Caenorhabditis elegans: one gene and its partner. The protein of the gene in region 1 purifies or fractionates together with the protein of each later gene. This does not show direct contact. Each region holds a gene or a part of one and is shown on either strand. Other genes may lie near its edges.

Evidence for each region.
Region 2: the proteins of rrf-2 (region 1) and glb-12 fractionate together in Caenorhabditis elegans (co-fractionation; one large-scale study listed by BioGRID). This does not show direct contact.

The regions. Positions count from the first base shown.
Region 1 is NC_003279.8:12,099,848-12,107,695, reverse strand, and holds the start of rrf-2 (RNA-directed RNA polymerase), read left to right. Parts: upstream 1-1,583; 5' UTR 1,584-1,632; intron 1,633-1,708; 5' UTR 1,709-1,718; coding exon 1,719-1,823; intron 1,824-2,376; coding exon 2,377-2,535; intron 2,536-2,595; coding exon 2,596-2,880; intron 2,881-2,941; coding exon 2,942-3,064; intron 3,065-3,106; coding exon 3,107-3,253; intron 3,254-3,509; coding exon 3,510-3,683; intron 3,684-3,746; coding exon 3,747-4,013; intron 4,014-4,072; coding exon 4,073-4,600; intron 4,601-4,645; coding exon 4,646-4,825; intron 4,826-4,871; coding exon 4,872-5,234; intron 5,235-5,293; coding exon 5,294-5,405; intron 5,406-5,464; coding exon 5,465-5,922; intron 5,923-5,973; coding exon 5,974-6,175; intron 6,176-6,233; coding exon 6,234-6,505; intron 6,506-6,832; coding exon 6,833-7,012; intron 7,013-7,057; coding exon 7,058-7,193; intron 7,194-7,324; coding exon 7,325-7,848. Other genes in the region: M01G12.14 (Decapping nuclease), read left to right, coding at 1-71, 126-313, 357-632.
Region 2 is NC_003280.10:10,729,042-10,733,260, reverse strand, and holds glb-12 (GLOBIN domain-containing protein), read left to right. Parts: upstream 1-1,608; 5' UTR 1,609-1,698; coding exon 1,699-1,737; intron 1,738-1,883; coding exon 1,884-2,150; intron 2,151-2,209; coding exon 2,210-2,295; intron 2,296-2,366; coding exon 2,367-2,466; intron 2,467-2,994; coding exon 2,995-3,222; intron 3,223-3,275; coding exon 3,276-3,356; 3' UTR 3,357-3,457; downstream 3,458-4,219. Other genes in the region: mks-5 (Protein fantom), read right to left, coding at 4,011-4,093, 4,145-4,219.

The DNA of each region.
Region 1 (7,848 bases):
AATTCCACGTGGCAATGAGCACCCTTACAGTGTTTTGTATTCCGGGGAGATGGATGCCATTTATGATGAGGGTAAGGTTTTTTAGATTCTTTTTTTTTAGAAATAAATTGATTAAGAATCTTCAGAAAGTCGCGAGCACGTGGAGCTGAAAGTCTTTGTAAATGGACTAGACAATTACAAGTGGAAATTCAGAAGTTGCTGGATGTACTGGCAAGCCTTCTTCTCGAATGTTCCAACACTGGTTATTGGATCAAGAACGGGGAAGGAGTATCAGTCGATTTCAAAACATATTCCCGGATTCTCGTTGTACAAAGTAGGTTCCTTTTTTTTTAATTTTTGCAAACGTTCAATTTTAGGTTGAAAAACTGGAACGCGATTCGATTCCTTCAACGGCAGCAGCGAAACATGCTCAGCGAATGGGAGACCGCCCGTTCCCACCCAAGATCTGGTCAGTTGCCGCTGGAGAACGACATCTTCGTGTATTCCTGCAATTGGTCAAGGAAACAGCAATTTCTGATGGAGATTGCTTCGTTCTCTCGCGAAATGGTGAAAGATCCAGGTGGATAATCGAGAGGGATGAGGAATCGGTTGCGGAATTCAGAAAAGTAATTGTTAAGAGTATGCCAAAATAAATGTTGATTTCTAAAAAAAAGGAGGAAGTTTTTATCTGCATTTTTTGAAAAAGAAATACGGTCGCAAGTATTTTCTCAATTTTTGCATTTTTCAGATAATATGTAGCCAGTTGATTTTTAGTATTTCAGAAAGCACCGAGACCACGTTGTAATTGTATTTCAACAAGTTTTACTAGTCAATTGAGACATTTTTGACAGTTTGCCAAAGTTTCAGAAAAATAAATAATTTATGAAAAATCTTTTGATTGGTAATATAATAATTTTGGTCTAAATATTTCATATTTTTTAAAATAGTTGTTTTTCTTATTGGAAACATCTCAGATTGTTCCCAAATAGTTATAAGAATAACATTATATATTTTTAACTCATATCGTTACAGAAAAAATTTTGTTACTAGATAAATTTTAGTTTATTTTCAAACAAAAAATTTGTAAGAGGATTATTCTTCTTGTCCGTATTTTTTCCTCTTTTATCAATTTTATCGGTAAAAACACAATTATTTTTTATACCTAAATTTTTTTCTTCGCGAACATTCTCGCCTTGCTCACTCTTATTCGGATATTTCGTAATAACAACGTATCCTTAGCGTCTCTTAGCTGTCTGCGTCTCCGCTGTTCAGAACAGAGGTTGTTTCGAATTGTCAAGCAGTTGTTTTTCTTTCATTTTATGTTCGCGCACGTGCTCGCTGGCTGTCTTAAAATTCACGTTTTCTCGCGGACGAGAAAACTTGAGAAATGTGAGAAAATGGCCTAGAAAATCCTGGAAGAGGAGAATTCCTTGTCCACAGCCAAAATAGCGTGTGAAAAAAGAGACGCAGACGGCAAAACGGCTATTCTTTGCGTTTTTCACGTCCAGAGAAAAAAGTAGTATCTGCGTCTCTCACGCCCAATGGATAGCGAGAGTTGGCGCCAACGTGAATTCTCAATGAGGCGCTTTTGCTTCAAAATTATGCAAAAGGACAGCCAGCGACCACGTGTTCGCGTTACACTAATTGAATAAAGTGAGTCAAAAGTGTTGTTTTTTTTTTTACATTTTGGCTACAAAATTGAACGGTGAAATTACTTCTCGTTTTGCAGGCCTTTCGTTATGTCGGGGCAAAATGGGTCTATCAGGCTTGAGTTTCCGGAATTTGACGATTCCATAGATAGGATCGAATATGGTATCGAAATGATGTTAAATAGTGTTCCTGCGGTAAGTCACGGGCTTAAATAGTTACTACTGAAGTTTGAGAGGTTTGAATAACATATTCCAATTTTTTAAATTTCATATATTTTTTAGAAGTATTCATGACTTTTAAAGATTTTTTTTTCGATTCTATTAAAAATTTCCTAAACTCTCCTGAACTAGTTTTCAACTCCGTTTCAAAAATGTTAAGTTGAAAAATTTCTAATGATTTTTTTCAACTGAATTTTAACCTTAAAATTTTTTTTCTAAAGCATTTAATATTTGAAATAACCGAAAAACTTTCGTTGAAAATTAACATTTTAATTTCTTGAATTTTTTTTCCTGAAGACATCGAATTTTAATTTTGCGCCAACATTTTTTATCAAAGTTTGATGTACACCACAGAGCGCATAAAATGTCCAATTTTCCGGCAGTTTTTCCTTAAAAATTTGAATTTCACATGAAAATGTTTGGAAAATTTAAATTTGGGATTTTCCGCCTATGGGCTTGTAAGTTTAGAAGCCTTCAAAAACAGGAGAGATTTTTAGTTGAGAGACAAAACAAATTTTTCTCATTTTAGATTCTTCAACATCACAAAATCGATATCAAGAGTCGTCATGAGATGGAAATTGTTGAGGAACAAGACTGTGATTCCTTCTTTGAAGTGAACTATGACGTTGCCAGTGCTAAATTTGATCAAACTATAATAGATGCGATGAGGGCCTATTTATTCAGTTTGGTAAGTGATTAAATTCTAATTTTTTTTGCAAAGAAAACCTCCAAAAACTCAAGTTTTCAGAATGCAAATTGGCCACGGCCTTACATCGTTCTTCATGGTTCGGATTTTTGGGCAAAAACACTAGATTGCTATATAGAGGTCCCATTGGCAGCAATGTATTTTGGAAATATTCAAGGATACACGTATATCAGTCATTGGCAAATTTCATTTTCTGGCAAAAAAATATCGGCAGATGCGAATGAGCTTCTGAACAAGATAGTTGCCGAATTTGAATTCGATAGGGCTGATATGATAACTGTGACGTTTCAATGTTTGAAGAGGAAGAGAATCAACTATCAAACTATTGTGAGTAATCCTCTACAGTAACCCTACAGTACCCCTGCATTAATCTTGTCACCTATTTTAGATCCGAAAGGACACGATTCGTCGAATTATCGTCGATCCTCAAGTTGACATGAACAAGACACGTATACATTTCGAACTCAATTGCCCACCACTCATTAGACAAGGATCTGTAGATGATGATAAGGTACAACTTTTACTGCTACACAATTAATGATTCTATTTTTAGCCATCGACTCAAAAGCCTTTCTATAAACGTACAAATCGATACAGTTGCATTGGGACGAAGGAGTACGGTTCCCCACATGAGTCAGCCATCTCTGATAGTCCATTCTTCACAATTGAACTGCAAAAACAGGAATCGGATGGGAATTCGGTAAGTTGAATGTCATTTTTTGAATGTCAAAAAATCCATGTTACAAAATTGGACGAAACACTAGCTTTGCAGATTGACAAATGTCTTTTGAAAGTTAGAAAATTTTATTTTGTTGAAAGTTTAATTAAAGGGTATTTATGTAAAACTTGACCAATGGGGTCTAGGTAACTTTTAACCAAAAATCAGCAGAAGCTTGGACTACATGTTAGCATTAAGGGTTTGCTAAAATTTGATCTTACTGAAGTTTAACTTTTAGGGAGACTCGAATGATACGCTATATCGTGTACTTTCTCGTCTACGCTCTCGAACTGGAGTCCAAATCGAATTTGCAAATTTTCCAAAAGTCGATGTTCCGATAGGCAAGGTCTATCCATATTTAAGATATCCGACCAGCTCGAAATCATATGCATTCGAATGCTTCATATATAACGTGAGTGAATCGGCTAACAAATGAATCTAATCTTAACAAATGGCAAAGTAGCAATGCTTTCAGTGTTTCCCTTCAAAGATGAAAATAATAGACGCCCAATCAATTAATGAGAATGACGGAAGACAATTTGCAATCACATACCTAATTGAATGCCTATTGTCACGGGGAGCTATCGTCAAAGATCAAGTACTTACAGATGAAATATGCTGGGGGCAGTTCTTGGGTCTAATTACTCACTACTACCTGGAAAATGATAAGCTTTGTGAAGCTGCACTTGAAGATCTGATTTATTTAATTGATGGCAGAAAGCGGATTGGATCAATTTGGAAGGTGGGGTGTTTAGCTTAGGTCTCTTTTACCCATTCGGAGACCCACAAACCATTTTTCAGTGCTTTCATAAAATTTGCCAAAAACGTCTAGTAATGCAGCTGACGAATGGTATGTCAGAACAAGAGATCGAAGAAGGATATCAACGAGTCCGAAAAGTGATCTTCACACCGACAAGAGTGATTTATACTCCACCCGAGATGATTATGGGGAACCGAGTACTAAGAAACTTCGATAGAGATGGAACTCATGTGCTCAGAGTTACTTTTAGAGACGATAATAATAGAAAAATGCGAGCGAATGCAACTGGCGAACTACTTGACATTTGTGTCAAGAAATACTTGGAGCACGGAATTGTAGTGGCAAATCGGGATTTTGGGTTCTTAGGATGCTCGAGCTCACAAATGAGAGATAATGGTGCATACTTTATGGTTAAAAATACAGATAATCGACATAAAAACGCATGCAAAATGAATTCAAAGTTCAAACCGAACATTGATTCAGTTCGAAATCAATTGGGTAATTTTTTGCAAATCGAAAATATTCCGAAGTTGATGGCAAGATTAGGTCAATGCTTTACTCAGAGCAGGGTAAGTGTTGGAAGCTTTAATAGTTAAAGGGCCTATCACTTTCAGCTTACTGGTGTCAGCCTAGGACCAGACAACTATTGTTTGACACACGATCTATCGGGCGGAAGATCATCAAATGGAAGCGAGTACACATTTTCTGACGGAGTCGGAATGATGAGCTACGAGTTTGCTCAAGAAGTATCTCGATTGATGTCATTCGGAAGATCCGTTCCAAGCTGTTTTCAGGTAAGTGGTTTTGGCATGCACGCCTACAATAATTTAATGATTCTAGTTTCGATATCGTGGAATGAAGGGTGTTCTTGCCATTGACCCGCTTTTAGACAAAGAACGTAATTGGCAGGAGAAGCATGGAATCTCATTGTCCAAGAATATCAAGTGTGTGTTCCGTCCAAGTCAAATAAAATTCGAGGGCAAGCAAATTCTCGGAGACCAAGTGGAAATGGTAAAGTACTCGTCGCCGGTGCTGGTTGCTCTCAACAAACCATTAATAAACATTCTCGATCAAGTTTCCGAAATGCAGTCATTAGAATGTCATCGGAGAATAACGAGTAGGATCGAGGAATTGATGGATTTGCAGACACTTTCATTTGCCAAGCAGATGACGGATGAGGCATGTTTTAGGAACAAGCTGAAGGTATGTTGCCTGCCTACGTTAGCCTTCCAAGTACCTTCCAAGTAGATAATCTATTTCAGGAGTTTCCCCGTAGAATCGATATTGATTACTTGAGAACAATTTGGGGATTCACATTGTCCAATGAACCATTCTTCAGATCCCTTGTCAAGGCGTCAATCAAGTTTGCTATCAGTGAGTTTTTCAAGTTTTTGAAACAGAAGTTTCATGCATCATGTTAATTATGTTTTCAGCCAAACAACTGTTCAAAGAGCAAATCCAAATACCCAGCGAGCTTGGTCGATCGATGCTTGGCGTTGTCGACGAGACTGGGATTCTACAATACGGACAGGTCTTTGTTCAATACACGAAAAATCACAGGAACATACTCCCACCTCGAGATTCCAATCGGAAAGTTCTCGGTAGTGAGATTGTTACTGGAACCGTGCTGCTCACTAAAAACCCGGGCATAGTTCCCGGGGATGTTAGGATCTTTGAAGCCGTCGACATTCCAGAACTTCATCACTTGTGTGATGTAGTTGTATTCCCACAGCACGGTCCAAGGCCTCATCCAGATGAAATGGCAGGATCGGATTTGGATGGAGATGAGTATTCTGTCATTTGGGATCAGAAATTGCTACTCGAGAGGAATGAGGAGGCGTTTGACTTTGCGGTGGAGAAAAACTTACAGACATACGAGTGGGAAGACATTGTAATTTTTGATTTATTTGATGAGCATGACTAACTTCAAAATTTAATTCAGGACGACTTGATGCGAGATGTCTATGTCGAGTATCTCAAAAAAGATTTGGTAGGGTTGATCGCGAACAGCCATCTCCACAACTCTGATCAGTATGGATTGACTTCAAGAGTATGCATGAATTTGGCTAAGAAAAGCTGTCAGGCCGTTGATTTCTCAAAGTCTGGAAAACCCCCAGATGAGCTGCAAACAACATGGAAGACTGGTAAGTGGTGGTATAAAAAACAAGCTGTTTTTCGTCAAACTTATCTCTAAACTTTTAGATGACGCCACCGGTGAGATGATCCCACCGGAACGAGCCGAGAGAGTACCTGACTATCACGTGGGAAGCGATCATATGCCAAAGTATGTCAGTCCAAGACTATGTGGAAAACTGTTCCGAGAGTTTCAAGGAATTGATAATGCCATGAAGATCTCTGAAGAAAAGTCGGAGCAGTATAAGATTGAAGTTGACGAGAGTATTCGTGTCGATGGTTTTGAGGAGTATATGGAAGACGCAAAGAAGCAGCTGGCCAGTTACAATGGGCAGTTGAAGGTTAGTGGGTCTTGGAACGAAAAGGCTCGACTTCGGCAGCTTAGGATACTTAGCTGCTCCATATAGCAGCTGTGGATTACTGTAGTTTCAGTGAACACCAGTTCTAGGAAACAAATGATTCAGTAGGGTCTCTTCAAGCTATCTGGTTTTTTCTAGAGCTCTACTGTAGTCCTACAGTACCTTTCTTCAGATTTCGAGCTGGCAGAGGTACTGTTACAGGACTACTGTAGAAAATTGTTTACTACAATAATCCTACATTGGTGATTTCCTAGCATCTTGTAGGGTTACTACAGTAAGACGGGATAGACTAACTATAATAATTTTCAGTCCACAATGGATACATACGGTATCCAGTCTGAAGGTGAAATCATGTCAGGATGCATTATTGAAATGAGAAATCGAATTTCGGACTCGGATCAAGACGATATGTCATTCTACAACACTAATCGAATGATTGAGACGAAAATGACAGCTTTAGTGTCCAAATTTAGAACTATTTTCTTCCAGGTAAAAAAATCGGTCTAAGTATACACCTTTACTGTTTTTTTCCAGCAATTTGGCGGATTCCAAGAAGTTTGTACACTCTTGCCGGATGCTTACAATGAGAGCAACTTCTTTAATTTCCGTTGTGAGAATCCGAATGAGGAGATTAGAAAGAAAGCCGTGGCTTGGTATCGGGCTTGTTATGGTAAGTTATGGGATTGGGTTTAGGCTCAGGATTAGGTTTAGGCACAGTGATAGGTTTAGGCTCACGCTTAGGCTTAGGCTTTGGCTTTGGCGGGACATACACTTACTCAAACAATAACTGTATTTTTATAGAGTGCGCCAAATCCACTCGTGAACCTCGGAAGCTTTCATTCGCCTGGATTGCATATGATGTCATAGCCAAGATCAAAGAAACTAAAGTTTTGGAAAATGTAGAAATGAACATTGGCGGAGCAAATCCCATGTACACTTATCTAGAGCATCACAGAGCACGATACATAAATGATCACGTCGATGATTTCGAGAAATTCCGCAGGAATTTAGACAATTTAATCACCGGCAAGGAATCGAAAAAAGCAGTTTTCATTCTGCAAAGATACATTTACATGATACCTGGATTGGATTCGGTGATGTTTGTGCTGATGCGATGGGGAGAAGCATTGGAATTATTTGAAGGAAGATCAATGAGTATTTATCACTTTCTCCTCATGTTCATCATGTTTTCAACTGGACAGCTAGCATCGGCTGACGGGAATGCGGAACAATTCTTTGGGAAACTTGATGTGGAAGAGTATCGGAGAAGAAAGAAAAATGGAACTTTAGAGCCAGATATTCCGCTTACTAGGCATCAGCGGTCG
Region 2 (4,219 bases), on another chromosome or scaffold:
TTGGAATTTGGAGAGCGGCAAGCAAAGTGAAAACAATCAAATTTCTGATCAAAAACTATAGCAAAACTATCTAGTTGAGCATGAGAATTGATTATTTTCTGCAATGCGGGTGCTTGAATTTGAAAGATTGAATTGTTTTCTATACAAATTTCAGACTATTTTTGTTCATGAAATCTGCAGTTTTAATATTTCCGATTTTTACAAATTAACTGGAAATTTCTGAAAATATTCATGCTTCAATTTTTAGATATTTTCAGATATTCTGGGTGTCAAAATGGACATAGTATTCGTGTATAACATGTTCTCAGCTTTTAAAAAATATAAATTTCAACCCAAAAATCGCAATTTCATTTTTTCTCCATTTTTTTGGAGGCAAACGTCCACTTTGGTTTTTGAGAGCGGAGAACGATTTTGGAGATTAACCAACATTTCTGATAAATTCTTTAAAAATTCAATTGTGGACTTAAAATACCGTGGTTTAACAAAATTTGAAGTGAAAATGTTTAAAAAAATTAAATGGGCAAAAATCAAAAATTTGAGAAAATAACCAGAAACTAGGAAGCCGGTAGACCATGAATTGCTACTGCCGTTTATAAATCTGCCCCACCAGCAAACTATGTTCCAAAATAACTTGAATTCAAACTCCACAAATTTTGTCCCGTTCCAGAAATCTTTGATCCACTGAACTTTTACGTGCACCTGTTACACTTTTCCCGCCGGATCTTGAGTTCAAGCTTCTAACAAGTAATAAAACAGCCTACGTATAAATACATTTATAACATTAACATTCGAAAAACCAATAGTTCACCTACTTCCTTCTCTTCCCTTATTATTTCTTGTCAGAACTCTCTACTATAATTTCGCAGTTTTTTGTCACTTTGTTTATCCCACTTCTTCGTATTTTTCCCTCTTCTGCCTTCTTCTCACTTTTTTAAAGCAATCATTTGGTTATATTCATACTTTCTATAAGTTTTTGGGAAGAAGAACACTGATTTTTGATATGCGTCTTTTCTTTCGGAAAAGATCCCCGAGAAAACTCAAGTCTAGTCTCAGATTTTGACAAATTTAAGTGTTAAGCTGACAAGGAAAAGTTTCGATTTTTTTAAATGTTTCATCGAAAATTAGGATTTTCAAAAAAGCTCATTTTAATAGGTCCCCACAAAAATTATACTGCTTGGAAGCATTTTAAACAAGGCAAATTAGATTTAAAAGATTTCTCAAAATCTACAGTTTTTTATTATGCTTTGGGTCATAGGAAAAGTTTGAGATCTTTTCAAAACAAAATTATTAACCCTAAAAAATCTAATTTTTTCCACAATGAATATGGCTAAATTTTCAGTTAGGATTTATTTGATTTCCAAGATCTAACTGGCCATTTCCACAATTTAAGCCAAAATTCAAATTAGTTTTCAGCCTTGTGAACGCGAATTTATGTTGCTCTGTTCCCCGTCATCCCATAAAAAATCAGCCGTCTTCCGTTTTATGACTACTTCAACACACAAAAAATCCAATCATCATTCCATTGCCACGTCATAATTGAGGCTTATTCAATTTGTCTTCTTCATGTTTACTCACTCCTTCTCCTTTTTCAGAGTCTTTCAATTTCAAATTTTCAGAACATTTCCTGATTGAGGTGATGAGAAGTTGTGCTTAAGATTTTTAATAAAACAAGTATCGTTATAAATCTATATATTTTCAATGGGTGCCACATTATGTGCACCGAAAAAGAAAAAAACCGTGAGTTTTGAGCTTGATTCGGAAGATGAACATTTCTCAAAAATTTTTGGATTTTTTACATTCTTTTCAAAAAAACAGTACATAAGAATAGAGAACTACAGTACTCTTTAAAGACGCACAGAACATTTTAAAAAATTATTTTCCAGCAAGTCGGAGCATCTTGGGTCGGAAACGAATCTGAAAATCCATTTGACTTAGCCCTCAATAAAAAAGACCGTACTCTGTTACGTGAAACTTGGCAAAGGCTAGATGATCCGAAGGATATTGTTGGTCTTATATTCTTAGATATTGTCAATGATATTGAACCGGACCTCAAGAAAGTGTTTGGCGTGGATCGGGCTCCGCGAGCCGCGATGCTGAAAATGCCGAAATTCGGAGGGCATATTCTAAGATTCTATGAGTTCATGGAGCAGGTTAGCTGTCTAAACTACATTTTTAAGAGTATTTTTTGAACTCAAATTTATTATTCCAGCTCACGTCAATGCTTGGCACGTCTGAAAATCTGACGGGTGCATGGCAATTGGTACGAAAAACGGGAAGAAGTCATGTCAGACAAGGGTAAGTGCGCAGGTGCAAATGCCGTCACTTTGTATGATTATATAGTCCAATGCCATTTGATGATTTTTCAGTTTCTTGGAACAAAATCAGAACCAGATGGAGAAGAACTATTTCGAAATTGTTATAAATGTATTTATCGAGCGATTAATTCCATTTCTGACGGGTGAACAGGTGAGATTGTGGGATCAGTTAGGTCAAGCTAGTTTGAAAGTTCAACTAATTGATTTGTTGGAAGGTTTATTTGGAGTACAACTCAATCAAATTATTTTCTAATAAAGGAATTAATTGAGCTTGATTTCTGAAAAAATCTATATAATTCGAAAAAGAAATTTTGCGGTCGAGAAGCATTTTGAAAATTTTCCCGAACGTAGATTAGGATGTTTGTGAGCGAGGAAATTACTTGAGCTGTTTTCAAAAAAATGTTTGTTTTTCTTTTTAAAAAAGGTGCAATTTTTGATCCAGTTGGGCAAAATAGTTGCGGGTTTTTTCAAAAAATTAGAATAATATTTTCAAATAAGTATTTTTAAATGTTACTTCAGATCGGATTTTTTAGTTCTTTGTGATCCTCTTCCTATAAATTCTTGTAGATACCTATTCGAAATAAGATTGTTTAAATTAAATTGGTTTTTTTTTCTAAAAAAGTTCATAATCTCCCCTCGTAAAACAAAAAACCTTTTCACCCAACAAATATGATTTTAGGAGCTTCCATCATCAGAAGGAAAAGAGAACAAAAAAGTGCGATTTGCTCAAAACTACACCACATCTCAAATCACAGACGTCTGGAAGAAGTTCTTAAACACAGTAATTAGTCAAATGACTGACTCATTTGAATTGGAAAGAGCAAAACAGAAGAGTGCACAAACAACAAAAGCCTTGGCTCCACATCAACATATCGAGATTTCGGAAAGGAAGAAGAAGAGGGTGGCGGTATGTTATTAGTTGATATCATACATTTGTTAATTTGATATTGGCATTTTCAGGAAAAACAAAGCGAGATTGAAAATACGGCAGTTTCAAATGAACCAAAAGCTCAAGAGCAAATGTTCGAAGATCCATTCTGAAAGTATATTTTTATAGTGATATACCATATAAAACATATTGACACTGAAAAAACACTGATAAATAAAACTGATTAAATTTATTGAATAAATGATTTTTTTTTGATTTTGTAGCACATTTAATGCACAAAAATGAGCTAAGCTTTTTTTGCTATTGCGTCACACAAAGACATGCAATTTTGGAGACAAAATAGCATTGCTGAATTAGGTTTAGATACATTTTTATGTGAATTGAAAGTCAGAGCCAATTACGTTATAGGCCGATTATTTTTCGAGTTTATGTATATGAGGTTTTATCCTCTTGAGGATCTATTCCATTTCGGTAAGAGGATTCAAAAAAAGTCAACTAACAAATCACTAAAAATTCAAAATACATTTTTCCGTCGGCAACATTTTAAAATCGTAATTATTTTGCCAAGATATGATAGTTACCTAAGCGTTTTTTGTGCTGTAAGTAGGACGTCAAGTTTGAAAATGCAAATTTCATTTTTCACCAATTTTTCAAACGATGTTAAAAAAGAGTATAGAATATTGCTTAGTTTGCTCTCCAGCAACCACAATTCACGATACTGAACAAGTTTTTTTTTAACCAAAATATTTATTAATTTGTTGAAAATATAATCTAACAAATTATTTAAACCGTATTTTTCAATTTTCTCAGGTCAATTGTTCAATTAATGCTCTTGAGAAATGCAATGTCAATGTCATCTCGGCTTGCACAATTCCACTCCGATCGTAAACTGAATTTGAATTCAATTATAAGAATGAGATACTTACGACAAATGACTAACCATCAATTACAAACGATTTGTTCTGTGTGTTGTTTGGCACTAAAATCAAACTTCCGAAGCCGAGCTCCTCTTCGT